Linked DNA regions of Arabidopsis thaliana. The protein of the gene in region 3 interacts with the protein of the main gene of each other region in a pairwise test. Each region holds a gene or a part of one and is shown on either strand. Other genes may lie near its edges.

Region 1 (6,195 bases), on a different chromosome or scaffold from region 3:
TGGTTACCTCCCCGGCTCAAGCCACCATGGTCGCTCCATTCACTGGTTTGAAGTCATCCGCTTCTTTCCCGGTCACCCGCAAGGCCAACAACGACATTACTTCCATCACAAGCAATGGGGGAAGAGTTAGCTGCATGAAGGTAATGTCATTAATGAAAACTGTCTTTTGTCATGTGCAATTAGTGCAACTGAACAATACTTAAGAATAATTGGGAATTGGGAATTATAGGTGTGGCCACCAATCGGAAAGAAGAAGTTTGAGACTCTATCTTACCTCCCTGACCTTACTGACGTCGAATTGGCTAAGGAAGTTGACTACCTTCTCCGCAACAAATGGATTCCTTGTGTTGAATTCGAGTTGGAGGTAATATACACAAAACTTTTCCTTTGTCTACTAATCATTATTATTTTTTTCGTTTTCATTGCTAGAAATATTAGCCTATAACCGGATTTTTTAGAACCGAAATAGACTATATCACCTTGTGCATATCCTCCAATATCAATTGTATTGAATGGTTTTCTTATGTGTTTATAGCACGGATTTGTGTACCGTGAGCACGGAAACACTCCCGGATACTACGATGGACGGTACTGGACAATGTGGAAGCTTCCATTGTTCGGATGCACCGACTCCGCTCAAGTGTTGAAGGAAGTTGAAGAATGCAAGAAGGAGTACCCGGGCGCCTTCATTAGGATCATCGGATTCGACAACACCCGTCAAGTCCAATGCATCAGTTTCATTGCCTACAAGCCCCCAAGCTTCACTGATGCTTAAATCCTTTTCTGGAATATTCAATGTTGACTATCCGGAACCCAATTTTGTATGGTCAATGTAAATTTAAGTAATTATTTTGCCAAAGTGAAAAAACTGAAGGTTTGTTTTTCTATCGTTTCCTCTATAAAAATCTCTATTCATATCACTTCATTTCTGCTCTTATCACTTTTAACTCTTTTTATTCGTTTTATCTCTTTTAACTAACATTTTAGTTCCTTTAAATTTCTCTCCTAATTCTTGCCTTTGGTTCTCTAATGAAAGAGTACCCTTTTTAGGTACATTTCGCACTTGAAAGCATAGCAAAGATGCGTCCATCAATCAAATTTTGAGGGTTGATTTAGAACATTTTAATTTAAAGATGAAAAACAGCCAGTAAAGGTAGTAAAAATACGTAGAAAATAGAGATGTCGTCTCAGAGAAGATGAAAGTTACATAGCCCTTTGGAAAGGAAAAAATGATCACTACCGTCAAAAGTTTGTCACAAGAGATACATGCTCAAAAATTCGCAACACTAAGCCTACGATGGACGGATACAAAGGGATCTGTTTCTTTTACTTTACCCTAACTACTCCTTTCTCAGTTGGCTAGCTTCAAAAAACAGAGTTGCCACGGGAGACAGAATGTTTAAATGGAATCAACAAGTGAACACAAACTGCATGTTCTGTCACGAACCTATGGAAACAAGACACCATCTTTTTTTTGGGTGCTCTTACTCGCAGAAGGTATGGGAGAAGCTGATAAGGGGAATACTACTTGATAAGTACTCGACATATTGGAGGGAAGTCTTTAAAACCATTTGTGACAAAAACTATGACAAAACAAAAATCTTCATTCTACGGTATGTCTTCCAAAACACGGTTCATTCGATTTGGGGAGAAAGAAATGCTTGAAAGCATGGTGAACAACCATCACCAATGGAGAAACTTGTCAAGTTAATTGACAAAAATGTTTGGAACCGGCTGAGCACAATACGGAGTGGGGGGAGCTTTGAAGTATGAAGGAGGTCTTCAAGTTTGGTTTGGTACAAGACAAGCTTAAGACCAAATCCTCTGTTTTAGATTTGTTTTTCAAAAAAGTATGCATTAAGTTGTAAACACGTTTATTTCTCTTTTTAAAATCTAATCTAAAAATTTTCTTTTTTAAAATGACATAGAAAAATCCAACTGTATATTTTAAATCCATAAACATGAATTCTAGAGCCGCAAGTCCAAAAATTTAGAGATGACATCATAGCAAGCAAGGACACGCAAGAATTAATGAAATTTATAATGGAGATAACAAAGCATGAATATTTATAATTTGGAAACTGTTTTACATTAAATTAGATAGTTTACGATACATTCAAAGCTAAAACACTTATTTACAATGAAAAGTAATCAATGTTTCTTGAATGGGTTTGGCTACTTCTTCTCATATGGTTGGACCGGGGCATATATGAGCTTTTACGTGGTATTCGTGGACCCATGACCATATGAGCTTCTTCATGTGGCCTTAGAGTGTGGATTCTTCCCTCGGATCCACACCATCCATTGAAGTGTGTTATAAAATTTCCCCATGATCCGTCATGGCTTTTGTGCTTAAGTTGTCATGGTGGGAATTATCTTGAGGTGCCACATTCGTGCTTAAGTGGGCCGTAAGTGCAATTGCGTTGTGCTCCAAAAGGAACGGTGCCGTGGGTTCCTCTTGTTCATCAGAAATATATTAATTAGCCGTAAAACCTGAAAATTCACAAGCATTTGGATTGTTTTCTAATTTAATATCCATTATGTGACTAAAAGTTCTAGTGATCGTACATACTACATAGAAAATAATAACACAAAATACTAGTTTACATTTCCCAATTAAAAACCATTTTGAATGAACTCTGTCTGATTTAATTATACTTTTAAAATGTGGGATGAATTCAAAGATTATACTTATATTCTTATTATTTAAGATTATCAAGTGGAAAAATAAAAATATGAATGTGTTAATATAAGGTAATAGAAATTTAATCATTTTTTTAATCTATATGTAAAAAGTATTTAACCGATATCTACAATTTGACGCCTCCCAATTGAAAGGAGCCAAAAGCAACCGATCAAGTGGAGACCAGTAGCCATACACATTCACTCCTACCCTTACATGAGAAAGATAAGATTATGGAGTTTTCTGCCACGTGATCTTATCCTAGTGGTCCAAATCGATAAGGGTGTCAACACCTTTCCTTAATCCTGTGGCAATTAACGACGTTATCATGAATTATGGCCCCTTTGATCATTAGGGCTAGTTGCCTCTAGCGGTTCCCACTATATAAAGATGACAAAACCAACAGACAAACAAGTAAGTAAGAGAAAAACCAAAAGAAGAAGAGAAACAACAAGAAGAAGTAATGGCTTCCTCTATGTTCTCCTCCACCGCTGTGGTTACCTCCCCGGCTCAAGCCACCATGGTCGCTCCATTCACCGGCTTGAAGTCATCCGCTTCTTTCCCGGTCACCCGCAAGGCCAACAACGACATTACTTCCATCACAAGCAACGGAGGAAGAGTTAGCTGCATGAAGGTAAATGTCATTAATGAAAACTGTCTTTTGTCATGTGCAATTAGTGCAACTGAACAATACTTTAGAATAATTGGGAATTCGAATTTATAGGTGTGGCCACCAATCGGAAAGAAGAAGTTTGAGACTCTATCTTACCTCCCTGACCTTAGTGACGTTGAATTGGCTAAGGAAGTTGACTACCTTCTCCGCAACAAGTGGATTCCTTGTGTTGAATTCGAGTTGGAGGTAATATACACTGAACTTTTCCTTTGTCTCTAAGCATCCTTTATTCTTCTTCTTCATTGCTAGAAACTTAAGTGGATAACCGAAATAGACTATCACCAATATATATATCAATTGTATTGAATGGTTTTCTTTATATATAGCACGGATTTGTGTACCGTGAGCACGGAAACACTCCCGGATACTATGATGGACGATACTGGACAATGTGGAAGCTTCCATTGTTCGGATGCACCGACTCCGCTCAAGTGTTGAAGGAAGTTGAAGAATGCAAGAAGGAGTACCCTGGCGCCTTCATTAGGATCATCGGATTCGACAACACCCGTCAAGTCCAATGCATCAGTTTCATTGCCTACAAGCCCCCAAGCTTCACCGAAGCTTAATCCCCTTTCTGGAATATTCAGCGTTGATTATTCTGGAACCCATTTCTATGTGGTCAATGCAAATTTAAGAAATTATTTGCCGACTTAACAGTTGAGGAACTATTGTTTGAAAGTGAAAATGTTATTCCTATCAGTTTCTCTATAATTATAGTTATCATTTCATTTCATTTTTGCCCTTAAATCTTTGAAATCTTATTTTTCGTTTAGCTCCTTTAAACAACATTGTGGCTCCTTTAAATTATCCTCATAATTCTTGCTTTTGACTCCCTAGACTAACCAATAAACTCTAATAAAAAAAGAAAAACTTGCTACATTGTTTTAAGAAATTTTGCACATGAAAGCAATCAATCAAACCTCGATATTTAGAGAAAAGTTTATGTAAGGGAGTGTAACCATTTTTCAGATGACATAGCCATTGGAGATTTGGAAAAGGTAGTATATACAGAAAATTCAAATGCATCTTTTAAAATTATAAACATAAAACATGTATTCCAAACCCCTAAGTGGGATATTAAGTCAAGAAATAGCATTACATAAAGCAAGGATCGACAAAGACTGAAATTTGTCAAGCATGAAGTTACTAAATTTTGGAAATTTTGTTTACGTTAAATTTGATCATTGGTTATGCATTAAAAGCTGAAACAGTTATTTAGAAGGAAAAGTAGTTAACGTTCCCAAAAAGTTCTAAATAAAACTAGATTCCAAATGATAATGAAAACGTCGCATCTACTATATGTTTGGTTTTAAGTTTTTGTTTTGACAAAAAATCATATGTTTTTGGATTCTTCTATGCAAACGAAATATAAAAAATTCATGATTCAAATACAAAATACATATAAAAATAATAATTCAAATTATCGAACATTTTTTCCATCTCCCGGATTTAATTCACACATTTTGGCTTCAATTAAAATCCAAGAAAAAGAAACAAAATGACTTATAAAAGACAGAAACTAGTAACTTAGATGGATGGGTTAAGACTTAAGAGTTAAGACTATCTCACTTTCGAAAAATGATTTATTTAGCTGAGGTGCGGAGTGGAGTGGACCTTGTGATCCTTTTCCCTACACGAAAGTTTTTTCGTGACCAGTTAATGTGTACTTTGTACACGTTTCTTCTCATATATATGATTGAAAAGGGGGCATTAATTTGTGAGCCTGAAGGTAGTAGTCGTGATCCATGAGTGCATGACCATAGTTTTATGTGACTTTAAGATGAGTTCTTGACTCCGTTCTACACCTTTGATTACATACTCAAGTTTGCATGGTGGAAATCAGCTTGAGGTGCCATATTTGTGCTTGAGGGGGCCGTAAGTGCAATGGCATGGTACTCCAAGGAGAACGGTTGCGTATGTGGGTTCCCCATTGTTATTGTGATGTGATCAGAGTCGCAAGATAATCGTGAGCTGATATTACTTGTTGATCTAGAGGCAGCGTGCATTACCTCATATAGAAGATACCATGGACTTTGGGAGGTTTTCTTGGAAATTCTTCCATGAGGGGTTTACCGCGCACTTGATACATGTAGATGATGGTTTTGCCGTTTCGTTTGTTCGCTCGGTCTCTTTGTCCCACAAACATATCTTGCATGATGTAGTTGTTGTTAGTATCGACTCAAATATTTACTCTCTCCAACCAGTAAGGTTTTGCTTTTATCCTAGCCACATAAAAATCAGAAATAAAAGTACTATTTGCTAAAAATGAAGTGAAAGTATTGAATTAACCGAAATCAATGTATTCAAATTTTGTCTCGCTTTTCTTTTGTCGACTAATATATTATCATTTGAAGATAATATATAACTTTTCCAACAAAAAGATTATCGACAATTTATTGTGGTAAATGATTTTCAGGATGTATCCAGAATCGACAGTCTACCAGTACTAGAATATATCTAATAGATAAATGGTTCTTCTTACACTATGCTCATTATGGATTCTTTAATTTACTCTTTCACAAAAGGGACGATGACGAAGGAGTCTCTCTACAGCACGTTAGAATTCTTTTGATAGGTTTACTTCCATTAGTCTGAAATGGAATCTTATTTATAAGTCTGCCTGAAAAATCTTAACAATTGATATTAATAAAACGGAAAGAGTAATGAATATTTTTAAGAGCATCTCGAATCTATCTCTATTTTTATTTATATACTCTATTTTTGTATTTATTTAACTCTAACTCATCTCTATTTTCATTTGTAAAATAGAAATTTCTAATTTTTTTTCTAAAGCAAAAAATAGAGATTTTTATTTTTTCTCTTATTTATTTTTTCTAAC
Region 2 (8,051 bases), on a different chromosome or scaffold from region 3:
GTCAAAATAGTGTAAAGACAGGTACATTACAAAGTCAAGAGTATTTACCCATTGATTTGCATTTTGTATGTTTGAAGAAAGATTTGCTAATTGTGTTTGCTAAAGATGAATGTTTAAGACATTCATCGAGATCTTGTCTTAACGACTTGTCCTCTAGAAGCTTTTCTCTCCATCTTCTCCCTCTTTTTGCGAGTCTTCTCATCCTCAACACCTCCCTAAGTTCAGTCATATAGACAAAACACAGTCCATTTTAAATGATCATGTTTTATTTCCCCCTTGTTCAAAGCACTTTGAGAGTATTCAAGACAAAGTGATTACCTCTGAACCATGTGACAATAGTCCCTTAATAAGACCAGAAGCTTTGTATGCTCCAAATGCAGGGATCTAAAATAAAAACAAGCAAAAGTAAATGGTTGCATCATTCCTACAGAGCAAATCTGTTGTTTGCCTTAAAATATGGCAATAAAGAAAATTGAGATGGGTATCATACCACTAAATACGCGTACCAAAACTTTCCAGAGATGATAGATCCGACCTGCACAAAGCAGGTGATGTAGAGTACATCATGCAAATATCTGCAAGGAAGAATAGAGCATCAGGCTTATACTATAGAATCTACCATAAATCCAATCCACCATAAAGATGACGATTATGTAGCAACTGATAAACGATAAAACTCGGAGAAAGCCACAACTAGTAAAACATCACTCATTTCAAACAACTGATAATGAAACAGTCCTCCTACTATTGCTTTTGGTTATGGAAACAGAATCCAACTATACAGAAACACTTGAGACAAAAGCAGGCACTTTCTAGTTGATCAATTTAAAAGACAAATCTTTCCGAACGTACCCACACATTCCAGGAGTGCTCATGTCAAATCCACCATCAAGAAGTTCACCAGCATCACTAACACTAGGCTTTGCCATTTGATGAAGAAGCTTATATGGAATCCCGTAACCTAACGATGTTAACACAAGACCAATCCAATTTTTCCAGGTATGACTTGAATGCGAAATTATAACCCTCACTAGGACATACAAAATCTGCAAACACATATTGCCAAAAACATCAATCCTCGAATTCATCGAAACAAAATCAGCTAAACATTGAAACTTTCGAGACCTAAAGATCAAATTCAACGGATTTTTAGTTCCATATTGATACAAGTAACGTATCTAAACAAATCTAAGCTCAACGGATTAATGTATTGAGAATTTAAGAAATGAGGAACGAGGAAGTTACGTTGCAAAGGATCATAATGAGACGGAGCTTAGCCATGTGTCGAGCGTTCTCATCTTTCCTCTTCTTTGCTCCTTGATTCGCCATGAGTTAAAAGAGAATGATCAAAGAGACGAGGAAGATAGTTTTTTCAGTTTCTGTAATTCTTCTTTTGCTTTGGATCTTCACAAATGGTGTGAGAGAAAACTTTTAGGTGTCTAAGCTTGTTTAATCCAATTATATATTGACACCTGTACCTTTTTGTCGTCCTCTTTTCTCAAATACTTTTTTCACGCAGGAAATGTTTTGTTTGGCTGCGTGTCGTAATTACGCTTTTCCTTGGGTTTAGGACAAAGATTCTTAATTTGGGCTTTCGTCTATCCTTATCAGTTGTTGTTGGAAAACTGAAACAGTTCTATCTAAATGGGCCAGAACAACCTAAAAGGCCCATAAAATCTGACATCTTAAGGCCTATCAACAGAAAACTGCATTATTTCAGTTTTCCAATAACAAGGTCTGTGTGAAAATCACCGGCGCTCGGAGAAGACATCAACATAAAACCTTTTACCGCTGTTCCAAAAACTAAAAAGTATACCATTTCTATGATCAATCGGTAAAACGATATTTATAACGGAACAAGAACAAAAGTAGTGTAAATTTTTTTCCCTGTTTTATGTTGTTCTATAGACAAAAAAAAATGAAGATATCATATCTTGTGGGCCTATATCCAATATTTGAGTGTAGCCCATATTTGGATCAAACATCACGTCTTACACAATGGTTCTCGGATATCCCAATCTGAGTATGGTTTTAGGTCAATTCAACATAGTATTATTTTGTCAACAAGCACCATTATAGCAAAAACAAAGATGTATCAAAGAAAAGTAGCGTTAGGGGTTGGTCAGAAAAAGACATGTTTGCAGTGTAAGAAATGACGTGGACACGTGGAATCATACGCAATGCAACATGTCATCATTAAGGTCCATTGTTCAACTTACCCATTGAGAACAAAACTAGAAAAATTATAGACCGTTGGATCATCTTTAAGGACCATGTCTGATTCACGTATCTCTCTCCCACTTGGAATATGCTTAGCCTATGTATGGGACACATTCGCTAGGTCCACCAGTATCCTGTACGCAAACGCAACATCGAGAAGCTTCCGTTTCCAATATTCTATACTATAATTACAAATGTTAAAAATTGTTTATAAAATTTGTAATTTGACTTGTAGACATCATTAGGGTAAAGATATATCAAGAAATTACTTTTTTCATAGGAATAAAAATAGTCAACTCTCTTAAATAAGGGACAAATACAATCCTCTAATGACCTGGAAAACAACTATGCAATCAACATTAACAAATGTAATTAGAAGTACAACACAATCAATTTTGGTTAAAAAATTGAAAGTATATAAAAATAAAAAAATAAAAAACGTGTCTTAGTTGATAAATAACTCATTAATCACGCCTCTATCTCTCTGTTTTAAGAGTTTAACAGTTAAAGATCTTCTTCTCTATCTTCCTTATTTGACTACATCTCCGTTTATTCTTGGGTCTCTCTCTATCTCTCTTATCCAGATTTATCATCGTCATTACATATAAACATCAAACTTAACTTTTCAATATTCTCATTCACTTTTTCCTCTTGTGCTCTAATTCTTATCCGGATCCGATTTCTCTCATACAAAGATTCTGTTTTTCTTCTTGGGTTATTGTTCTTGCTCTGTTTCCGTATCTCAAAGTTTCAGCTGCTGAATTGAATTTGCATTGATCGTAGATGAGACCAATCATTAGGTTATCATCTCTCAGTAGAATTAGATGGGCTCTAAGGAACAATCAAGAACGTTATTCTTCAACTTTCTACTCCAAAAGCCGCAAACTTTTGATCGGTGTCAATCAAAATCAAGCTCTGCTGAATACAAACACTGATAATTCAAGTTTGTATTCAAGGTCAAGTATCTTTAGAGGCTTATCAGCAGAAGCAGTAGAAGCAGCTGATCCTGCTACTACTAGGGTCACCGTCTCAGGTTTTGTTTCTCTTTGCAAAGAAATTCTATCAATCTCAGAGTTCGTGTTTATTGGTTTGCTGATATTTGTTGAATGATGACAGATGTGAATAGAACAGGTCCTCTTGTTGAGTATGAGAGAAGAATCAGTAATGGTGAACTCATGACTGGTGATATCTGCCAAGTATGATAAAAATAATAGCCACTCTTTTTTACTTCATTGAAGCTTTTGAGCTATAAGATTAAATGTGATTCGTGTTACTTGCGGCTTAAGGTTGTGTTTGAAATGTTGTAGATTAGTGCATTGAGAGAGCTTCAGAGACTATATGATGAGCTTGTGGATTCAGTAGATACATGTCGTTTAGATCGGTATAATACTTCTGATAAATCCTCAAGGTGATTGTTCTGTTCTCTTAGCCTTGACACCTTTCCTTCTCTGTTTAGGATTGAGAACTTGAGTCTCACACAACTGTGTTTTTGTGTAATACAGAAGTCGTTGGTTTTGGTCTCGGCTCATGCCACAGACTTCTTACTCACCCGTCAAAGGATTATACCTTTATGGAGGTGTAGGTACAGGAAAAACCATGTTGATGGACTTATTCTTTGATCAACTGTAAGTTTGTATGATCAAATTCTTATCCTTTTTTTTCGAGCATTGCGGTTTCATGACAATTCTCTTGTTTCATTAGGCCTTGTACTTGGAAGAAGCAGAGGATACATTTCCATGATTTCATGTTGAGTGTTCATAGCCGCTTGCAAGTATGGATAATTGAGTTTCCATTGTTTCTCTATTGATTTTAGTAGGAAAAGCTTTAGCCTTTTGAGATACGTTGTTTGATTTCGGTTCATAATGTTTGCAGAAGCACAAGGGTTTATCAGATCCACTTGAAGTTGTTGCCCAAGAGATAGCTCATGATGCAATCTTACTATGTCTAGATGAGTTCATGGTATGTACACTATTTCATATATTTATTTTCTTGAAAGTGATCATCTTTGGATCAACACATCTTGATTTTTTCGGCTACTGTTTCTGTTATTATAGGTAACTGATGTTGCAGATGCTCTAATACTAAACCGACTCTTTGGACATCTGTTTAGCAATGGTGTTGTAAGTGTCATCTTTACTTACATTATGCTGCTACAATCATCTTAAAACTGACTTTTGTCCATGCTTGCTATATAAAATATAGATTCTTGTTGCTACATCGAATCGGAATCCTGATAAACTCTATGAAGGAGGACTCCAAAGAGATCTGTTCCTACCTTTCATTTCTTCATTGAAGGTAGTCTAATCTACTATCATTAGTCCACTTTCAGTACCTTTTTAATTCAAAGACTGCATCAAGATTTCCATTTTCGCAGGAACGAAGTGTGGTTCATGAGATCGGTTCAGCGGTTGATTACCGGAAACTAACTTCGGTATTGCTCTTAATCCCATTAAAAACTCCCTAGACTGGCTTCAAGGTAGAGCTGAGTTCAATAACTGGGACACTTCTTCATTTTTGCAGGCTGAGCAAGGATTCTACTTCATTGGTAAAGATCTTTCGACCCTTTTGAAACAGAAGTTCCGACAATTGATTGGAGACAATGTTGTTGCCCGTCCACAGGTAGTAGAAGTGGTGATGGGAAGAAAATTACAGGTACAGTTTATTATACCAATCTCTGTGTAACTCCAACAACACTTGTGTTGTCTGTATATAAGTTCTTCATCAGACCAAATGCTGCTTCATGAACAGATTCCATTAGGTGCCAATGGATGTGCATACTTTCCTTTTGAAGAGCTATGTGACCGACCTCTTGGAGCTGCGGATTACTTCGGTTTGTTCAGTAAGATACTTTACTTTGTCTCTCTCTCATCTGCAAATCTTGTCTCTAAACAGTGCTTCTTCTTCTTCTTGATGTTGCAGAGAAGTTTCATACTCTTGCCTTGGACGAAATTCCAGTGTTTGGGCTTCATAACCGTACTGCTGCATATAGATTCGTCACGCTAGTCGATGTATGCAATTCCTGGTTCTTGTTTTGTTCTTATAAGATGGCACTACCAAACCATTTCATCAAAATCTGATAATGATGGTTTAAGAATTGCAGGTAATGTATGAGAACAGAGCGAGGTTGTTGTGTACAGCTGAAGCAAATCCTCAAGAACTTTTGGAAAAGATTATAACAATCTCAGAGGCGAAATCGATGGGTCCAAGAACATCATCAAGATCAAGAAAGAACGATGTTACTGAGCTCTGCGTGGATAACGAATTAGGTTTCGCAAAAGACAGAACCATCAGTAGGTAATGTAATAACAGACTCTGTGATTAACAACTAAAATCTATTAGTTTCATTGGTTACTCATCAAGCGGTTATGTTTATTGTGTAGATTAACAGAAATGAACAGCAAAGAATACTTGGAGCACCATGCCATAACACACAATCTGTAACACTCATACTAGACCCTTGATGATTCTTCATGGGATTCTTCAATTAAATCCTATAATAGCTTATTGTATTTTCTGTATCACACCAACAGATTGATCCGAACCATGAAAAGGAAATTGTTTTTCCATTGTTGTAACATTGAATTTTCGATTTACTGCTATATTAAATCTAATGAAATTGCATCTTTTCATGTATGCATCAAGAACAATAACACATTGCAATATTAACCAGATTGTTGCTAAACATTTAAGTGGTAGAAGCAATACATCAAGAGCAACTACGATATTAAACTAGTTTTGGAAAGAAAGAGAGTAGGAGCCAGTGTTGGGATCTTTAACCGCCTTAAAGTTGTCCACACTCATTCCAAATCGACCCAAAATCGAGTTTCCCATCTCCTTCAGCTTAGCTACAAACACAAATATATTCAGTATAAATGACTGTTAATGAATCGATGCATATATATGACCACGCTCTTGATGCATGCTGATTGCAAAAGATAATAAAAGTTCGTGATGGAATACTCTCAGAACTTACTTATAGCTTCTTCTTTCATCTTTTCTCGCTTCTCAGCAGCAAGAGGTTCAAGACGTCGAATCCCTTTCCTAGCTTGATCATTTGAAGGATCAAGTTCTAAGATCTTCTTCAGGTCTGCATATGAGAAGACAGAGGCTCAGTATGGCTCTTCCACTAAACCTGATCTACAACCAAAAGCTATCTATCATGTAACAAGTACCAGAAACTAACCACCTAAAACTCCTAGCTTATTTTTCTAATAAACTGGTTTCATGAGTAAACCTCAAAGGGAAAGACTTTTGCTTGCATACAAGGTAAATAAATACTCATGAACTCACCCGTGACAGCATCTTCGAAGTGTTCAAGTTTCTCGTGTGCTTCAGCCCTTCGAACCAAGGCCTTATTGTAGGTAGGATTTAGCTCTAAGGCTTTTGTGCATTCCTTGATTGTTTCTTCACATTTACCCTGACAAACATTTCACAGAAAATCTTGAGCACTATACTCATCTTCTATCGGAATTCAAATAGACCAAGAAGTAATCAAAATAAAGGACATACCAATTTGAGGAAACATACACCTCTGTTTAAATAGCATATGGATCGAAGCTCTATAGACTCAGGTAACTCCTGAACAAGCTCTAAAGCAAAAGCATACTTTGACAATGCTTCTTCATAAAGGCCATTAACGAACAGTTTATTTCCTTCCGCTTTAGCCTCATTTGCTTCTGCCAAAGCTTTCTCCTTCCAAACAAAAAAGACAAATTTCAATAACTATCAACACTAGCTTTAAAGCATTCTCTACTAATCTCATCCAAAGGTTCAACCTTTAACAGCAAAATTGAAACTTTGTCAATAGGTACAGTTGTAATGAGAACTAGCTAATAAACCCATAAACCATAAACTAATTTGAATGTGGATTCACCTTGTTTGATCCGTCGTCGACTATGGCTTCTCCTTCACTCATTAGCTCAATCTGCTCTTCCTTCTTCTCCGAGTGCTGTGGTTCCTCCTGACTCGTGACGGCGTCATTTTTGGTACCATCTTCCTCTCCTTCTTCATCGCTAATTTCACGTTCGCTGGCAGTTTCGAACCCATCGGAATCATCTCCGTCGACTTGTTTCGTCTCCGTGGGTTGCGGTGAGGATGAAGACGCTGGCTTTGGTTCGTTTTTGATGAGGATCTCGTCTTCACTCTCACTTGATTCGATCAGTACCATCTTCAATCTAAGGTTCTTCGAGAGTTTGCTTGCACAAAGATAGATTTCAGCGCGAGACTTATTCGATCGTCGATCTAGCTTTCCTCACAAATCAAATCAGAATCCAGAGCACTCGATAGAGAAGAAGAAGGGTCAAGATGCCTTGTTTAAACGACGACGTTATACTTTAGCTGGTTAAACGGGTTTTACTAACGACGTTAGGCAATCTCAGGCCTGGTATTGGCCCATTAAGTATATCATATGGTTTTGTGAATAAGATCTTTGTTCGCAAAAGTACTGTTCTTATAATTTGGTGTTTTTAGTATAAATCCAATTCACATTATTCTCAGGTAAGAACATATCATTTAAAAAAAAAATCATAACACGTTGATGATTCCGTAGCAAAATCATGAATTCTGTCACAAAATTGTGCATGATTTCATAGTAAAACAAGTTAGTATCGTCACAAAATTCTATATTCAACGATATGATCTTAACTCGTAATCTAGGGAAACATATTATGTGAAGTACTTTATCATTTGCATATAAGAAAAGCTTATGGCTTGCTAAGAAAATCATCTTTGTTTTCAACCATAATTTGAAAATATTATAATTTCTACATATAAAATCAAAACAAAAAAAACTCTTTATCAAATTTTTTAGTATAATAGTATGTGTTCATATA
Region 3 (8,168 bases):
GACTAGTTTCTTATTGTCAAGCTCATCGCATCCACTTACTTGACATGGCTATTTCTAAAATAACCCTTGCAATCATCGTTTTACTTCTAGGGTTCACTGAGAAATTATCTGCCTTGTCGAGTAGTTGTAATTTTCCGGCAGTTTTTAACTTTGGAGATTCAAATTCTGACACCGGAGCTATCTCTGCGGCCATTGGAGAGGTTCCTCCACCTAATGGAGTTGCATTTTTTGGAAGATCCGCCGGAAGACACTCCGATGGCCGTCTCATTATAGATTTCATTAGTAAGTATCTTTGATTTTCAATTTTACCCTTTTGTAAATTCTACTAACTATATTCATTAGCAACTTAATTCTACATTGATTTTAGAGTATAAGATAAGAGAAATTTTTGTGTTGCCAATTTGTTAACACTTATATATAGAGTTGCAGAAATCTCTATTTTAGAATCAATTATAGAGTAGGGTTAGAGAAATGTTTTGCATTTTTACTTAGAGTAGGGTTGGAGATGCCCTTAGTATATTTGAAACACACATTTGCTTCTAGTTATTGAATCGATTTTGACGATATATTTGTTATGATTTTGGGCAGCCGAAAATCTTACTTTGCCGTATTTAACACCATACTTGGATTCGGTTGGAGCTAATTACCGGCATGGTGCTAATTTTGCGACGGGCGGTTCTTGCATCCGCCCCACACTTGCTTGTTTTAGCCCATTCCATCTTGGGACTCAAGTGTCCCAATTCATTCACTTTAAGACTCGTACCTTGTCTCTCTACAACCAAACCAACGGTAAGTTCAACCGGTTAAGTCATACAAATTACCAAACCAGAATTTAAAACTAAAACTAAGTCTTCTACATGTTTTGTTTTAATGAAAACTTTGTTGATATTTGTTGTTTTGGCCTTAGGAAAAACTCCATTCTGCAAAGAAGTCTTTGCACGGCCCAAAGATTTCTCAAAAGCTCTTTATACATTGGATATCGGCCAAAACGATCTCGCGATTGGGTTCCAAAACATGACAGAGGAACAACTCAAAGCAACTATACCCTTAATCATTGAAAACTTCACCATTGCCTTAAAAGTAAGTATCTTAAAATTATCGGAGACTTTGGTATAAAACAATCTCTAACAATGATTTATTTTATTAGTTGTTATACAAAGAAGGAGCAAGATTCTTCTCAATTCATAACACCGGACCGACAGGCTGTTTACCGTATCTTCTGAAAGCTTTTCCCGCTATACCGCGAGATCCCTACGGTTGTTTGAAGCCTCTGAACAATGTGGCAATTGAGTTCAACAAACAACTCAAGAACAAAATCACTCAACTAAAGAAAGAGTTACCTTCTTCTTTCTTTACTTATGTTGATGTCTACTCGGCCAAATACAACTTGATCACCAAAGCAAAGGCTCTAGGTATGCACTAAACCAATTAAACGGTTTATATTTTTGGATTTTATTGGTTACGGTTAGACTTAAGACTTCTCATTCATTTCCGGTTTTATCAAATCTATAATGCAGGTTTTATTGATCCTTTTGACTATTGTTGCGTTGGGGCGATCGGACGTGGAATGGGATGTGGGAAGACAATATTTCTAAATGGGACAGAACTCTATAGTTCTTCCTGCCAAAACCGTAAAAATTTCATAAGTTGGGATGGCATACATTACACCGAAACCGCGAATATGCTAGTCGCAAACCGAATCCTCGATGGTTCGATATCGGATCCACCTCTCCCTACCCAAAAAGCATGTAAACTCACGAAAAAATAAGTTGCCATGATATAAACTAATAAATGTCTAGCATATTTCTGGTGCTTTCAAGTAACTAGCCAAAATTTCTATTCACATCTCTCTTTTTGTTTTTGAATCAATGTAAAATTTTCTTCAAAAAGTCATTGGTTACAATATATGCAGCTTTAAGCAGAATGTTTCTATTCACATCTTATCATATTAGTTATTATATAAAAGACTATATCAAATAATCAGTAACTTGTTTGGTAAGAAATTTTAAACCGCTTAGTTCAGATTATCTTTTGCTTAGTGACAACTTTTCTTTTGTTGCTTTGCTAAGTGACAACTTCTTGATTCGGTGGGTCGTCTCTTTATGTTCTCATGCTACATATGTATGTGTATATTCGGTTATTGTTTTTTGTTGACATTCATGAACATTACATGACAAGACCAGACAAGATGTTTTAGTAACCAAACACTTGTTGTTTACTCAAGATCAGTGCTCAAAGTTAGAGAAACTGCCATCAAGGAGATTTTTAAACTCCAAAATTTCAATGTAAATCACATTACAAAACGACCAAATCAATTGCGTTTTACTCTTTACATTTTATTTATAAAGAAAACAAATGCAAGATTTTTTTTTTTTTCCTTCACTTTTTATAAAACTAGAAAACATAAAGCCTCTTCATTTTTTTCCTTCTCCCTCGACCGTGTAAGTACCGTATTCGAACTTGTATTTTGTATATATATACATTTTAGACCGGACAATAATCCGGTTAATCAATAAACCGGTCTCTGTCCATTTGCAATTTCAGGGTTGTTGTCCAAAAGGGTAAGAAGTGCTCTGTTTCTTTTACTCCTTCCTCTTCCAGCTTCTTTCAACAACGCAGCAAGCCTCTGCTTCTCGTCCTCAACCTCGGGATTTGCCGTCCCGAGCTTCTCTTCTCTTGTCCCAACAACATACTCCAATATCTCTATAGCATCATCTAACCTGTAAAGCAAGTAACACATTGCTTGTACCGCAGGGAAATACCAAAAAACATAACCTAGCAAGAAAATTGTTTTAAGTTCCAAATTTACCTTCCCATTGCGTCGTACGTTCCAGCAAGGTTACTGTAAACCGCTAATGTATCGGGATGGTACGGTCCACACTCTTTCTCAAGAATAGTTTTCGCTTCTTCAAACAAATCTGCAGCTTCATTGATCGCGTAACGCTGAACGCAAGCTAGTCCCATCTGATTCAAAGCAATCCCGAAAAGAGCGGTTTTTTTCTCTCCGCTATTGCGGAACTTTGATATCGCGCTCTTGAATATGTCGTAGGACTCGGAGTAATTTCCCATCATATAAGTAACCACACCCATTTGAGCTTCAATACCTGCAATCGTGTTCTGTTGACCTGGAGCGTTTGCATATATCTTCAACGCCCGTCTCAACAACTTAAGAGCTTGATCAAGTTCATTCATTGACTGATATATCGCAGAAATCTCTATAAAACCAGTCGCAACCTCTTCCATAGGAGTTCCTGGAGTCGGTTTTAGGTAAATCTTGAGAGCGTTTTCGCAGTACGATTTGGAATCGCGTGTTTTCCCAATCTTGTTGTACAAGTCAGCAAGCCTAACGTAAACCAAAGCAACAGAGGAATGAGTCTCACCTTTTCCTTGCTTAAACACAGCTAAAGCCTTCTGGTATGCGAATATCGCTTCATCAAACCTAGCTAGCGACATGTAAGCATCACCAATACTGCAATCTACAGCAGCAACATCTTCTCTATGGTTCTGAGATGACATTGCCATGCTCGCTAAAACATAATGCTCAAGCGCAACTTCATAATCACCTTTCGCATCGCAGATAAGTCCCATCAGTTTTCTATCCGCAGCTTCTTCAATAGAAGCTGTAGCGGCAGCACCGTTTTCTTTGTGAATGTCCAATGCCATTTGACAAAGCCTTGAGGCTTCTTCAAACTGCATTGCTTGAACATGAGCTTCCGCTAAGTACCTACAAGTTTCGCCAACTCGTGCATCCGATTCTCCAAGAACTTGTCTTTGAATCTCCAAACCCGCGGTGTATAGCATAATCGAATTTTCAACTTGACCCATCAAACCATACATGTCACCAAGCTGCATACACCCTGCAAATTTCGCCAACGCGTGATCCTCACCATCTTCAATCATCGGTATCTCGATAGAACGTTCAAGAACAGGCACAGCGTCATTGTATCTCCCTAACCCTGCATATATCGCTGCCAAGATATGCAAAGACATCACCAAATTCAACCCAAGTTGTTTCTCTCCTTCCCCACATTTCTCAAACACTTTCACCGCTCTCAACGCTAAATCAAGAGCCTTGTTTAAATTCTCACCTGAAGAAACCAACTCTCTGGCTTGCTTCAACAACACCACACCAAGCTCAGGACTCTCCTCATCAACAGAAACCTTCCCCAAATCCGGTGATTTCCTCGAAGAGATCCTCGAACCCGGCATCTTCGGATTATTAGGACTCGTTTTCGCAACCTTCTTACCATTCGAAAGAGGTTTCTTCTGACTCAAGCTACCTTCTCCATTACTTTCTTCCTTCTTCTCCAAGATAATCTCTTTCTTGCTCTCTCCTTCTTCTCCTACATCTCCAACCAAATGCCTCAACTCCAAATCAATCCTAGATTCAGCTCCATACGAAATAAAACTCGCCCTGGACGGAGACTGATCATCAGAACTCTCCATTTCACAAACGTTATGATACAACTGCTCAATAGAAGCATTCATAGCTCCATCAATTGCAAGATCTATAGAACTCAGAGGACTCCTCGGTGAAGCTTGAAGGGCAGAATCGTCTTTTACCCTCTCATTGCTCTCTCCTACGTCCATGGCCTCCAAAACTCACAACTCAATTATAAATCTGAATCAATGGAGACCAAGATTTTAGATTCAAATCCGTTAAAACAACAAGATAACATCAAAAGACTCGAAATTGAGAACCATAAGTCCCTAACTAGAATTATCTAAAGCTGACATAGATTCAGTTACTAACAGAGAACAAAACCCAGAATCAAATTCAACGAAATTGAAAAGAAAAACGAAAACTTTGAAGATTTTAAGAGATAAAAATCGAACCTTTATGTGTCTTTGACTCTGAAGAAATCTGCAAGAAGGCAAAAAAAGAACAGATTCTGTTTTTTGGTAACTTAGTGTGGTTGTGTAAGAGATGAAAATGAAGGATTTGGTGTCTTGTACTTTTCACTTTTAGGTGTTTGTTTTATATCTTCACTTTCATAATCTCATAGCTAATGTTATGAGAAAGATGAAGCAACAACATTTATGCACAAACCCTTTCACTGTCCTTATATGTTTTGAAACAAAAGCAGACTTTTTTTTTTGGGTCTACATTGCTTACTTTAATTTACCTTTTAAATTGAATTATTGATTGATTATATTAAGATAATGAAGATGATAATTGACTCTTTTTGATGTGATTATATGATTATTTTTTCAAGAAAGAGATGCATAACCAGAAATTTTTTTGAAGATCATTAGGTTTGAAGATGATTGACTCTTGAAGCAATAAAAAGAAGATGACTTCTTCCCTACTTGCACTCTCTCTTTAAATAATTTATCTTTTTTCCTCAATTTTATAAATAAATTTATCTCTTTGAAAAATAATAATGAATGTCTCATCCATTTTTTTTATCATCTAAAATTTGATTAAAAATTTGCTGTGAAACCAAAGAAAATTACAAATTTTCAAAGAAGGAAAAGTAAAACCGACAGATAAAAAATAATTCCCCAAAAATTACAGCAGAAAAAAACGAGATTCTTTCTGGAAACTAAACACTATGAAATGAATGTTTCATCCATTTCAAGATTACCTTTTTTTTAATTAAAACTTTTAAAAAATATTGTTTCCTTCACATGCAATTTTTTCATGAATTTGTTTTTTTAAAGTTAAAGTTTGAGTTTTGCCCGTTAAGAATTAATTATTTTTCTTATTTATCCTAAAAGAAATATTGTTTCCTTGAAATGCAATTTTTTAGGGATTTAATGAGTTAAATTAGAACAAAAAAAAATTGAGTTTTGCAGGTTAATTAGCCAGCTAATTAAATGCTGGGGAAAGATCACAATTCACAAGTCTACGTCAAACCCTACAAATTCACAGCTGTATAATAAGTACCGTTGAGATTCCGCCACGTGTCATACTTAATCATCAATTATCTCTAATGATCATCCCATGATCTCTAATCTATATACGTAATATTAAAAACGTGAACAGTTAAAAATTTAGCCTTTTGATTGATATAATGATGCAGTGTTTTTTTTTTAGTATAGTCTTTAACTCTTTATGGAAAGAAAAATTGGACCACTGGATTTAAAGGATTGAATCACTAATTTAGTAAGAATTTTTCTTAATGACGAAATGATATGACACGTGGACTACAGCTGCATACCAGTTAGACAGCCTGGTTTTATGGTCCAGATGTGGTCCACCTTTAAGCCCATTACGGCTTTATGGGCCCTTATAGTCATCAGTGTAGGGCCTACCCAAAATGTAATTTTTATAGAACTCTCGTTCCCATATTTCATGAGTCAATTTTATTGTGAAAAAACGATAATGCGCTTAAGGCAATTTTTTCACTAGCCAACCAACAAAATATCGAAATGACTATTATTTTTATTTATTTTTTTTTTCTTGTCACAACGAAATGACTATTTATATATGTTTTTGTTAAGAGCCCATAACATTATATTATTTGGTTGGTCGGTCATATTATATATGCAAATTATGTATGACTTGGTTTCTTACAAGAGACAGAGACAACCCACACGTTTGTTCATAATTCTAAGACCTAACAACGTCTCTTCCTTCGGATTTTTATTTTTGTATATTGCATAAAGACAACTCTGTAACCACAAATACTTTATTATTTCCTATTCACAAAGTTATAAGCAATTCTTTTTTATCGTCAGTTCATAAGCAATTCATTGGATTAATTTATGAACTGAAAACAAATTGTAATCATTGACGACTGTTGGGCGGTGCTGTTTTCTTTAACTCTTTCGCCGCTCGAATCCCATATCAAATCTTATCTGTTCACAAATTATTTGGTTTTCTAAATTCCTACGCGTTTTATATTACCAACACGTTTTTGTTTTCTTCGAAAATTTTAGGTCAGAACGTATATAATTTTGACAAATTTGTCAAATACTATCTCTGACAAAAGTTTGATAAATTTTGACAAATTTGCCACAACATCAGTCATTGAATTGTACAATAACTGTCTAACAAATAAAAATTTTCTACTTAGCGTAAAATACATTCGTTCGTGAATCGTGATGAAACAAGAATACTTGCGAAACAAGCAAAGTAAACCTAATCAAATGCATGATTTAAGCATATACCGCAGGATTCGTTTCAGAATACCAAAATCTGCAACTATTGGAGCATGCATTCGTTGACAAACAAAATTGACTACATACTGGATATACGGCCGAGTGATGGTGAGTTATTGCAATTTTCCAGCTAGGCTTCGAAAATAAGTTGCATCCGAGGATAATTCAAAGTTGAGGTTGTCGATTTTATGTGGTAAAAGAGTCGGCATCAGATTACATTCAGACATAGCAGCCTATTGTAGAATGTCAGATGCATAAGCTGTTTGGTGAAGAAAAAGACCGTGTGAATCAGTTTTGATTTCATCACCAACAAAGTCATCTACATAGAGTAGAAGCACAAGTTTTTTCCCATTTTTGTGATATGTGAAGAGAGAAGGATCAAATTTGCTGCAAGTAAACCCAAAATCTAGGAGATAATTACCGAAGGTGTTGAACCAAGCTCGTGGTGCCTGCTTGTAGGAACCGGTTCTCATGATTCAACCACCGAGTTTTGTTGAATCATGAAAACCGGTTCCTATTATTTTACTCAATACAAAAAATGATTGGATTGGATGACACTCATCGATTATTTCAGCTTTTAAAAGTAAGAAAACATAACCAAAACATATTATAATTAAGCATAATATTTGACCATTTCTTTTCGATTGTTAAAAAATGACTTTTACAAACAAAATATAAGTAGACGATTTTTAATAATTACATACAAGTGCATCAACTATTTTTACGAACAAATTAAGATTCCTTTAAATTACGTTCTTAACTTCAATCAATGGAGTGTTTCAAACCTCTTCCGTCGATTTGACAAAACATTCGTTAGATTTGTTTCGATTTGTTATTAAATTCAATTCGATTTGAAAATTTTAGATATCCATAAATTAACGAAGCAAAACTTAAAAGAGATATTCGTCAAAAACAGAGAAAATCAAAAATACTATAATTTAAATAGGTGAATATCTGCTCTTCTTCAAAATTAATTGCATACATAAATTCTAATTTTATTATTCTTATATGTGTTTTATAATCTTGTAATCATCGAACTAACTGTTTGAATTACAACATTG
Region 4 (8,204 bases), 6.7 Mb from region 3:
CTGGATTTACAATTAATGTTAAGAGATAAGTATGAATGAAAACCAATGTTCGGATTTGGTATCTTATGTAACAATACCTGTAGAAATACATGGAATTAAAATGTTAAAATAAAGAGAACCAAAGTTAAATTACAGTTATTTTTGTCGACAAAACAGAAAATAAATTAGCTTTAATATTTCTTGTCTTTTTGTTTTTGTAAAAAAAATATTTACACAATTATATAGTTTGATACATTGCTTAATTGGTGGTCATGAACTATACTTTTACATTTAAAGATTAAATTTGACCGTATCTGAACATGATAGACGCGTGGATTATAATAAATACGGCTAATTAAATTAAATGCATATCATCTAATGATTCAGTTTAGTTGACTAAAATCCCTTACAAATACGTAAATCTTTAGAAGTGTAAACGACATGGACAGACTAACCAAACAATTTGATAATTTAGACATTTTAGCTTAATTAATTTACTTATTCTCAACTTCACAATACAAAAGCTAAAGTAATTATTGTCACAGAGAATATGAATGATTCTCAAGTCGAGTAGAGCAATTAACCGAATTAGTTTTAAGAATTTGTCTTTGTTAATCCTATCGTTTTGTAAAAACCACTATTACAAATGCTAAGAGAAGCAAGATTAGGAAAAACTTTAATGTTATAGTGAAGGAAAATGCTTCTAAGAACAGAAAATGAAAACTAGAGGGAAGATTAGAGGACTGAAGATTTTGCTTTATACATATACTAATGTAATATTATAACAACTACGACATTAAAAAATCAAATCAAACCAGTTTTATGCAAGATTGTACATTTTATGTCCAATGTCTAACACTATTAATTTAGAACAGTAGTTCTTTTTCGGTCTCTATTTCTGAAAACTAACAATAGATTTTAATTGATATAGCTACTCAGTAATTTTTTTGATCTCAGATCTCTTAAAACAAAAATTAAATTTACTTCGTTTGACAAGACCTTCAGATCTTTCAGGCACATGAATCACATTAATATATGTGCAATATCATAATGTTATCAATATCGAACCAACCTTAACTATAATTCATGCATTTTAGGTTAAGATCTAAAGTTTTTTCCATAACTCTTTTTATCTATGAAACATAATGTGCGAAGGTCAAAAGCGGTTTAAGGCAAAAATTTAAATTGTTGCCTTGAATACATATTTTTCTTTTAAAGACAAGAGTTTTTTTTACCATTTTTCAAATATTCTCATTGAAAATGAGATTTTGTGAGTTAATATCATGAAAATCAAAAATAATTTTCATAAATGTTAATGTTATGATTTTTTTTTTAAAAAAAATATCCTTAAACACTAATTTTAAGTAAATACTAGCCTTAATTTTTATAAAGATGTAGCCTATTAATATTATATTGTTGATCTAAGAGATTAGACATTCTACTTATTTTAGTAGCTATAATATGATTTCGACATAAGCTTCACGCTTTACTTACAAAATGTTTAGATTCATAGCGAGTAAAACGTCGTAGAATCAAAGCTCAAAGCCAAATCTTAGTCCTCCTCACGAGCAACATTTTTGCTATGATGTTGAGCTTACTCCGGATCTTTCGTTTCTTGGCTTTTGATCTTACAATACAATAAGATTTAGATCAACAAACCCACACACAGACCATAAAAATCAACAATCAATCATATATTGCTCTACAGTCGTGGGATGGCGACGAAATCTGTGTTACCATCTCCGTTCGGCTCGCATTGTCCAGACTCGTCGGAAGTCCTATTCCGAAGAATATTCGCAGATCTGTTGGCCGGCGGCTTTTTTGGATTTTCCGATTGAAGATTAGGGCTTCATAGTAGATCGGTTTAGTCAGTTTATTAGCTCGGGTCGATTTTGATTTAAGAGCTTGGTTCGGTTTGGTATAGTTGATTGGGCTCTTTTCAAATTTTGTATGGATCTAAATTCGAAAATAATCCATTAAACCATTGTTTATAATATTAAATAACCAATAACAAAAAAAAAAAAAGTTCTCGCCTTCTCGGTTTAATCTTCATTCCTTTTTTTTAATACTCTTTTTTTTTAATTTGTTGAGAAATTGGAGATTAAAAATAAAGCCCAAAATAAAATAAAAAACCCCGGCCCATTAACAGTTAGTATTAAACAGCTTTTGCAACAGACGGCGGTAAACGATAAGATGGTGTTTTTTATGTCGTATCCGCCGACACGGCGGCAGTTAGTAGTGTCGGTGGGTTTTTTCGCGGCGGGCGTTTCTCTCTTCGTCGCCGGAGCGTATCTCTCACTCGCCAACATCTCACCGCAACAAGCTCGCGTCAAAGCTCGTAATGATTTCGTCAAGGATCGAATCAGGAAATGGCTCGACGATTAGTGTCTTTTTTTCGATCTTGTAGGCGTTCTAACTCTTAAATGATATAAATCAAAAGACGATTTCGTGTAAATTCATGCTCTTACATGTTTGGATCATTACCAGTTCAAATTCATGTTTTATGTCACTTACAGATGAGAGAATCACTCTTGACAAAACGAGCGAACAGAGAAAAAATGTAGATGTAAAGTCTTTAGATTCTGTTATCTCTGCGCTGAAAATGTGAATAAAATTTCTTGATCATATTACCATCTTGATTTTCTGGCATTCTGGTTCTCGCCTTTCGAAGCATCCGATAACCGCGACTTTGAAACAGATCCACCGCGGAAGTTACTTAGTCTCGAACCCGAGAGGATATGGTGATCTTTTGAAGAAGCCTTGTTTGGTTTATAAGCTTGTGTTTCATCTATATACCCTTTAGGCTCAACGTCAATAGATCTTCCCCAATCCAACCCTCCATCTCCACTTTTTTGAAGCTTCTCGCTCTGTACAACCCAATCAACACAATCCGATATGCTTCTTTGTAAAGAAAGGCTTTTCCTTGGCGTTGATTTTCTTCCTCTGTTCTCTTCACCATAAGGCCATTTATAGCTCTTGTTGTCTATGTTCAGTTCTATGGAATGAAGGTCGCTTTCGCCTGAACCTTCTTCATTTCCATTCTCGACTTCTCCATCTTCGATGTTATATGATCCAAAACTGATGTGATGGTTTAAATAATCTCCAGCCTCTTCGTTATGTAGCTGAGTTTGAGGTGGTTCACGGGTCTTCTCTTTACATCTTTTTGCTTTGAGGTAAGTTTGAAGCTGGTTTCTTAGCTTATCAACAGCTGCGTTTTTCTCCTCGAGCTGGTGTTTAGCCTCCGATAGTTTCATCTGTACTCTCTCTTCCCGCAATGCATCTGCTAACTGCAACATCTCTCTTTCCTTTTCGACTTCTTCTTTGACTTTAAAAGATTCTCTCTTCAGTTCTTCAACTTCGGCTTTGTCTTCGCTTATGTCTCTTGCTAGTTCATCACAAACTTTCTCAACCATCACTCTCGCTCGCTTCTCGTTCTCGATTTCTTTAACTGCTTTCATCAGAGCTGATTTTGTTTCAGCCAATTCTTTGCCCAATTTCTTGTTCAAGCTCTCAAACCGTCTCCTCAGCTTCCTCTCCACTTCTAGCTCACCAGCAACAGATTCGATTGCAGCCTCAACAACTTCTTGCTCGTTGCTTTTCCACACAGCTTTCTCTTCGGCAAAACGCTTCATCAAGTAGCTAATGTCGTTGTTTTCCGGTTTATGTTCGTGGATTAACTGATTGACCTGTAAGCGAGCTCTTTCGAGCTCAGAATGTAAAGCAGAGACGAGGGACATGCTAGAAGATGGGCGGTCGTCTTGACCCCACATTCTGTTAATGATTTTGAGAAGCTCTTTTGATGTTGTGAGAGCGTTACTACAATCCTTCAACCGTGTTTTGACACCCACAGTTGACCCAGTCGGTGTCTCCACCCGTGATCGAGTCTCAATCTGCATTGGAAAAACACATTTCAAATATTTTTGAACATCACTCTCTTGCACACATATTGATTTATAGATGATGGAGGCAAATTAACTAATCATAACGGATTGAGTGTCTCCTAGTTTCTTATACCGTTATTTGCAATGTTTCTGTGCATAACAAAACAAACCATAGATTATGTGTACGTATGCTTCCAAAGTAAAAAAACCAACAGCCTCTGGAGCCAATAATGCTCAATAATATACTACTTTCATCCTTAATCAAATACCAAATTTGGTTTGAGAAAATTATGAAAACTGCTAGAAGAAAGGGTTCCTCATAATGCTCAAAGAAACATCCCCAAGAGTGAAAAAAAAATAAAAAAATCAACTTACATCCATGAAGCTGCCACTGTTAATAGGATCCCTAGCCCCCACATTGCAGTCTCCAAGCCTAAGCTTTTGCACAGTTGATGAAGCTCTTCTCTGGCGACTCCCAGTCCCTGATCTTTCCATCCTCTACAAAAATCAACAAGTTTCTCAGCTATCCAATTACCTAACACACAGAAGTAAAGAAAGCAGAATTCTTCGCATTGTCCATTGCCAGATTTAGCATTATATATAATTTTTCTTAGGTCTCCATTATAAGAGAATCTAGGCCTACATTATTCACAATAAATCAACCTCTAAAAAACAACCAGCTACCTCCATATGACCAACGAATGAGAAAGAATAAAAACTAGTAGAAGTGCCCAATTATGCAAGAATAATAGGCACCAACTTATAAAGAAACGCCCTTTCATATAAACATAAATGTGCGTTATAGAGCACATGACAAAAGATTCTTAAGATCAAAACAGTTTTCTATTCTTCTCTAATCCCACTCCTTAACATCAACCAGAAGCTTATACGAATAATAATCTCCCTTGATGATTAAAATACTCATAGAGGTTGCCAAAAAAATCACAACTTTGACTAAATTCAGACCTTAGAATCACACAAAGATTATCAATTTTATCAGTTAAAGATGAGATCTTTATAACTTCCCCGAATCAATCAATACTATACTATATATATTATTGTTTTTCTCTCTCTCTTTTGATCGGTCAGAATTAAAGCACATGGCAGCCAGCAAGAAGTTGGAATTACAGCACATTCTCTTCCTCTCAACCAATCATAACCAAAGCATTTTACCTCAGAGACTGGACTATGCGACGGATCAGAAAGATGAGGCGGTAGAGAACCAGAATGAACCGATGATCTCGGCGGAGGAAGCGGCGCGATTCTCTCCTTTCTACTCTTTCTAATCATTGGCGCAGCCTCCTCCACAACTCTAGGTGAAGGCATCTCGTTCATCTCCCAAAGCGTCGCAGCTAACTTCCTAGCTGAAACAGGAGCAGGAGCTGATACTTTACCGGTTTTGCTCCCGCAGTGAGACGACGGAGAAGCAGCAGCGTGTAAAGCACCGGAAGCTCGTGGAGAAGGAGATCGACCCATAAGTCTCCATGTAGGTACAGGAGTAGTGGATCCTCCTCTTTTACCAACAACTATCGCTCTTTTGAATCTATAACCTTCACGGAGAATCGAAGAAGTCGACGATGTCGGCGAAGAACAACCACGTTTCCTGATTTTGCCAAGTAGAAGTAGATTCTCTACGCTTTGATTCTGCCTCGGCATATTCAAAACAATTGTAGATCTTTCTCTTTACCTGGAAAAACAAAAAGCAGATTCAGAAAATTTCACCGATCTGTTAGAAAAAAGCACAAAGACCAAAATTGAAGTTTTTAGAGTGAGTAAGAACACTTACAGAAACTTCAAAGCATTTCTATGGCTTCTTCTTCTACTTCAGAAGATAAAGTTGGAATGGGAATTGGGGGAATTTGGAAAGAAATGGCGGTTGCTGTGTTTTGAGGTTTTTTGATCAGACTAGTGTACAGAGTGTTATGTTAAAGTGAAAAGGGGAAAGATGACAGGAGTACTCATCTTCTGTGATAAGGAACACTGTAACATGTCCACGTGGTTTGATCTGTATGGATTATGGATGTTGCTCCGTGATTTACAGGGTGGATGATTTGTAAACCGACTTAAACCGAAATAATTGAATCGAAAACCGGAAATCACTTCCTTTTTATCGGTCCTGAAATAAGAGATTCTCAATTAGAAAAACAAACTAATCAACAAATTTCTTTAGTGAAGAACAAACTTATATAAATAGTATTTAGCAGTAAACATTATTTATATTTGGTTAGTATATGGTAAGAATTCGAATGAAATAGATCCTAAGTTCAATTTCACATGTTAAACCAAAAATTATGTAGATGTCATGAATTTATATCCATATTTCACAAAGTTTGACGGCTCATTGAGAACAATTATTTTCGATTAGAAGAAAGTCCATCTGCCTAAATAAAGGGAACTAGTGCATCTAATTTTATATTTGACCAAAAATATTATGCTCGTCTATGATATACTATGGGTTAATTTGGAGATTGGATCGTGTTTGTACTATATAGGGTTTCTTAAATGACGTGTTTGAGTAGGATGCATTAGATTTTAATCATTTGATACACAATTACATGAATCGATAAAAGACCAAATAATCTAAGGTTGTTCTTTTTACCAAACCAAGATTTTTAGGTTATAAGAAAATAGTTCCTTTAGTAGATTCCTAATGTGGACCAAAATATCTTGTTAATCTCATGCTTATGACTCCTAAATCATATGATCATGTTCCTATATGAGGTATATAATATACCATTTTTCTCCATTAGACGAGTGTGAGTGAGAACCGGTGTGCTTAAGTTACTCATTACAAAATGTGTCTACTACTATTCCAAGTATATAGATATTCATTTCAATAGGTTTTGAAGTTTTATCTATACCCACAATTTCACAAATCACAACCCGTTATAATTATAAATGAATATTGATATTACAGATTTACACTCGTGTAATTGAAAAATGGATGACCGAAGTATTCATGTGAAACCATGAATATTAAAATGCATGTATTATTTTTTTTATAGCAGGATGATCAGATATGATTTCCTAGTTTTCAAGATATTGCATCCATAAAATTCACAAGTTAATTATTTGATCAAACTAAACAATTGAAACTGTAAACGTTACAAAGAAAGATAACACGGCCACACTTTTTTCCGTTGTCAAATGGACACGTCCAAGTGGAGGAGATGATTCAACATACACAATCGTACCGTATTATTGTTCAACTCTTTATTGTTGTAAACGTTTTTTGTTTGGGTCAAGTCTCTTTATTGTTGTAAACACGATTCTTTCTATAGTACTTTCTGTCACATAAGTTTTTTTTTTTTTTTATGGTGAATCCGGAAACAAAATCTGTTCGAAAAGACAATTCAACCTAGAAATAGTTGGATCTACATCATATCAAAATATATAGGTAGCAATCAATATAAAACATTAAATATATGAACAATGTAAGACTATAGTGTTAGATACAATTGCGTACAAAAAGTTCAAAATATATATGAGTCAGGCCCAACTAAGATATGAATGCCCAATAAAGAACTAAGAAATTGGTTGCCAGAACTGTATTCCTATGGGAGTCTTCTTACTTCTGACTTCTAATTTCTAACAACAATTTAGTTTTTTTTTTCTCTTTTTTTTTTTTTTTTCTTTTGGCTGTCAAAGATCTAAGTTGTAATAGTTTTGTCATTTGATGAACTTTTCAATTGTAATAGCTGACTCAAAAATTTACCCAATCACCATCAGTATACCTTATGGTATGAATGCATGAATCTATGGTCTACCAACCATCAATCTTTCACTTGCTCCATTACCCAACTATCAACATCTACTATGATATATGACAGAAATGGAAAACGAATATAAATTCGTTCAATAAAATAAAAAATATATATGTAGTAGATAAAGTTGTGGTTGAACCTATGAATGAATATTGGATAGATGTGCAGACAAATGTGTGGAGTGTGGACCTTTGCCGACTATTGCATGTTTTCATCTTTTGTACCGGAAGGAAAAAATAACTTACCATTTTCTATTACCTTTATAGCTAGATATACAAATTTATAGAAAAATAAGTAGTATTAAAAAAGAAAAGAGAGAGAAAAAAAAAAGAAGAAGAAAATCCAAAGCGTGAGGGTAGCTTTCGGATAAACACAGAAGATTGTCTCCATTTTCTTTGGAAATTTTGGGATCATGGGCGTTTTGTAGGACCCATTACTCTCTCAGCCCTGCTTCTGCCACTCTGTGGGCCCAATTTAAAAGCCCACTCTTGTTTCTTTTCTAAACCACGTGAAAACAAACCACAATATGTTATATTCAATCAAACAAAAACTCTATTATCTCTCAAAGTATCTGTCATAT

Evidence for each region.
Region 1: the proteins of KLCR2 (region 3) and RBCS2B interact in a two-hybrid assay, tested with the Arabidopsis thaliana proteins (one large-scale study listed by BioGRID).
Region 2: the proteins of KLCR2 (region 3) and AT4G30490 interact in a two-hybrid assay, tested with the Arabidopsis thaliana proteins (one large-scale study listed by BioGRID).
Region 4: the proteins of KLCR2 (region 3) and AT3G11590 interact in a two-hybrid assay, tested with the Arabidopsis thaliana proteins (one large-scale study listed by BioGRID).

What each region holds. Positions count from the first base shown.
Region 1 is NC_003076.8:15,378,930-15,385,124, reverse strand, and holds RBCS2B (Ribulose bisphosphate carboxylase (small chain) family protein), read left to right. Parts: upstream 1-3,053; 5' UTR 3,054-3,146; coding exon 3,147-3,317; intron 3,318-3,407; coding exon 3,408-3,542; intron 3,543-3,682; coding exon 3,683-3,922; 3' UTR 3,923-4,218; downstream 4,219-6,195. Other genes in the region: RBCS1B (Ribulose bisphosphate carboxylase (small chain) family protein), read left to right, coding at 1-140, 230-364, 536-775. UniProt on the Arabidopsis thaliana protein: RuBisCO catalyzes two reactions: the carboxylation of D-ribulose 1,5-bisphosphate, the primary event in carbon dioxide fixation, as well as the oxidative fragmentation of the pentose substrate.
Region 2 is NC_003075.7:14,896,836-14,904,886, reverse strand, and holds AT4G30490 (AFG1-like ATPase family protein), read left to right. Parts: upstream 1-2,742; 5' UTR 2,743-3,003; coding exon 3,004-3,253; intron 3,254-3,336; coding exon 3,337-3,416; intron 3,417-3,527; coding exon 3,528-3,628; intron 3,629-3,722; coding exon 3,723-3,845; intron 3,846-3,921; coding exon 3,922-3,991; intron 3,992-4,092; coding exon 4,093-4,179; intron 4,180-4,274; coding exon 4,275-4,340; intron 4,341-4,422; coding exon 4,423-4,515; intron 4,516-4,594; coding exon 4,595-4,651; intron 4,652-4,740; coding exon 4,741-4,872; intron 4,873-4,968; coding exon 4,969-5,059; intron 5,060-5,139; coding exon 5,140-5,228; intron 5,229-5,320; coding exon 5,321-5,514; intron 5,515-5,600; coding exon 5,601-5,661; 3' UTR 5,662-5,853; downstream 5,854-8,051. Other genes in the region: AT4G30500 (transmembrane protein (DUF788)), read right to left, coding at 123-215, 319-384, 491-575, 853-1,046, 1,246-1,329; TPR1 (Tetratricopeptide repeat (TPR)-like superfamily protein), read right to left, coding at 5,950-6,065, 6,194-6,307, 6,511-6,637, 6,730-6,912, 7,094-7,387.
Region 3 is NC_003074.8:10,378,004-10,386,171, forward strand, and holds KLCR2 (Tetratricopeptide repeat (TPR)-like superfamily protein), read right to left. Parts: upstream 5,247-8,168; 5' UTR 4,837-5,246; intron 4,656-4,836; exon of another isoform or gene 4,622-4,655; 5' UTR 4,591-4,621; coding exon 2,810-4,590; coding exon of another isoform or gene 2,806-2,809; exon of another isoform or gene 2,721-2,805; coding exon 2,510-2,720; 3' UTR 2,227-2,509; downstream 1-2,226. Other genes in the region: AT3G27950 (GDSL-like Lipase/Acylhydrolase superfamily protein), read left to right, coding at 45-282, 589-789, 908-1,080, 1,148-1,412, 1,518-1,768.
Region 4 is NC_003074.8:3,657,940-3,666,143, reverse strand, and holds AT3G11590 (golgin family A protein), read right to left. Parts: upstream 5,847-8,204; 5' UTR 5,647-5,846; intron 5,548-5,646; 5' UTR 5,517-5,547; coding exon 5,034-5,516; intron 4,981-5,033; exon of another isoform or gene 4,359-4,980; coding exon 4,236-4,358; intron 3,870-4,235; coding exon 2,607-3,869; 3' UTR 2,410-2,606; downstream 1-2,409. Other genes in the region: AT3G11591 (bric-a-brac protein), read left to right, coding at 2,173-2,364.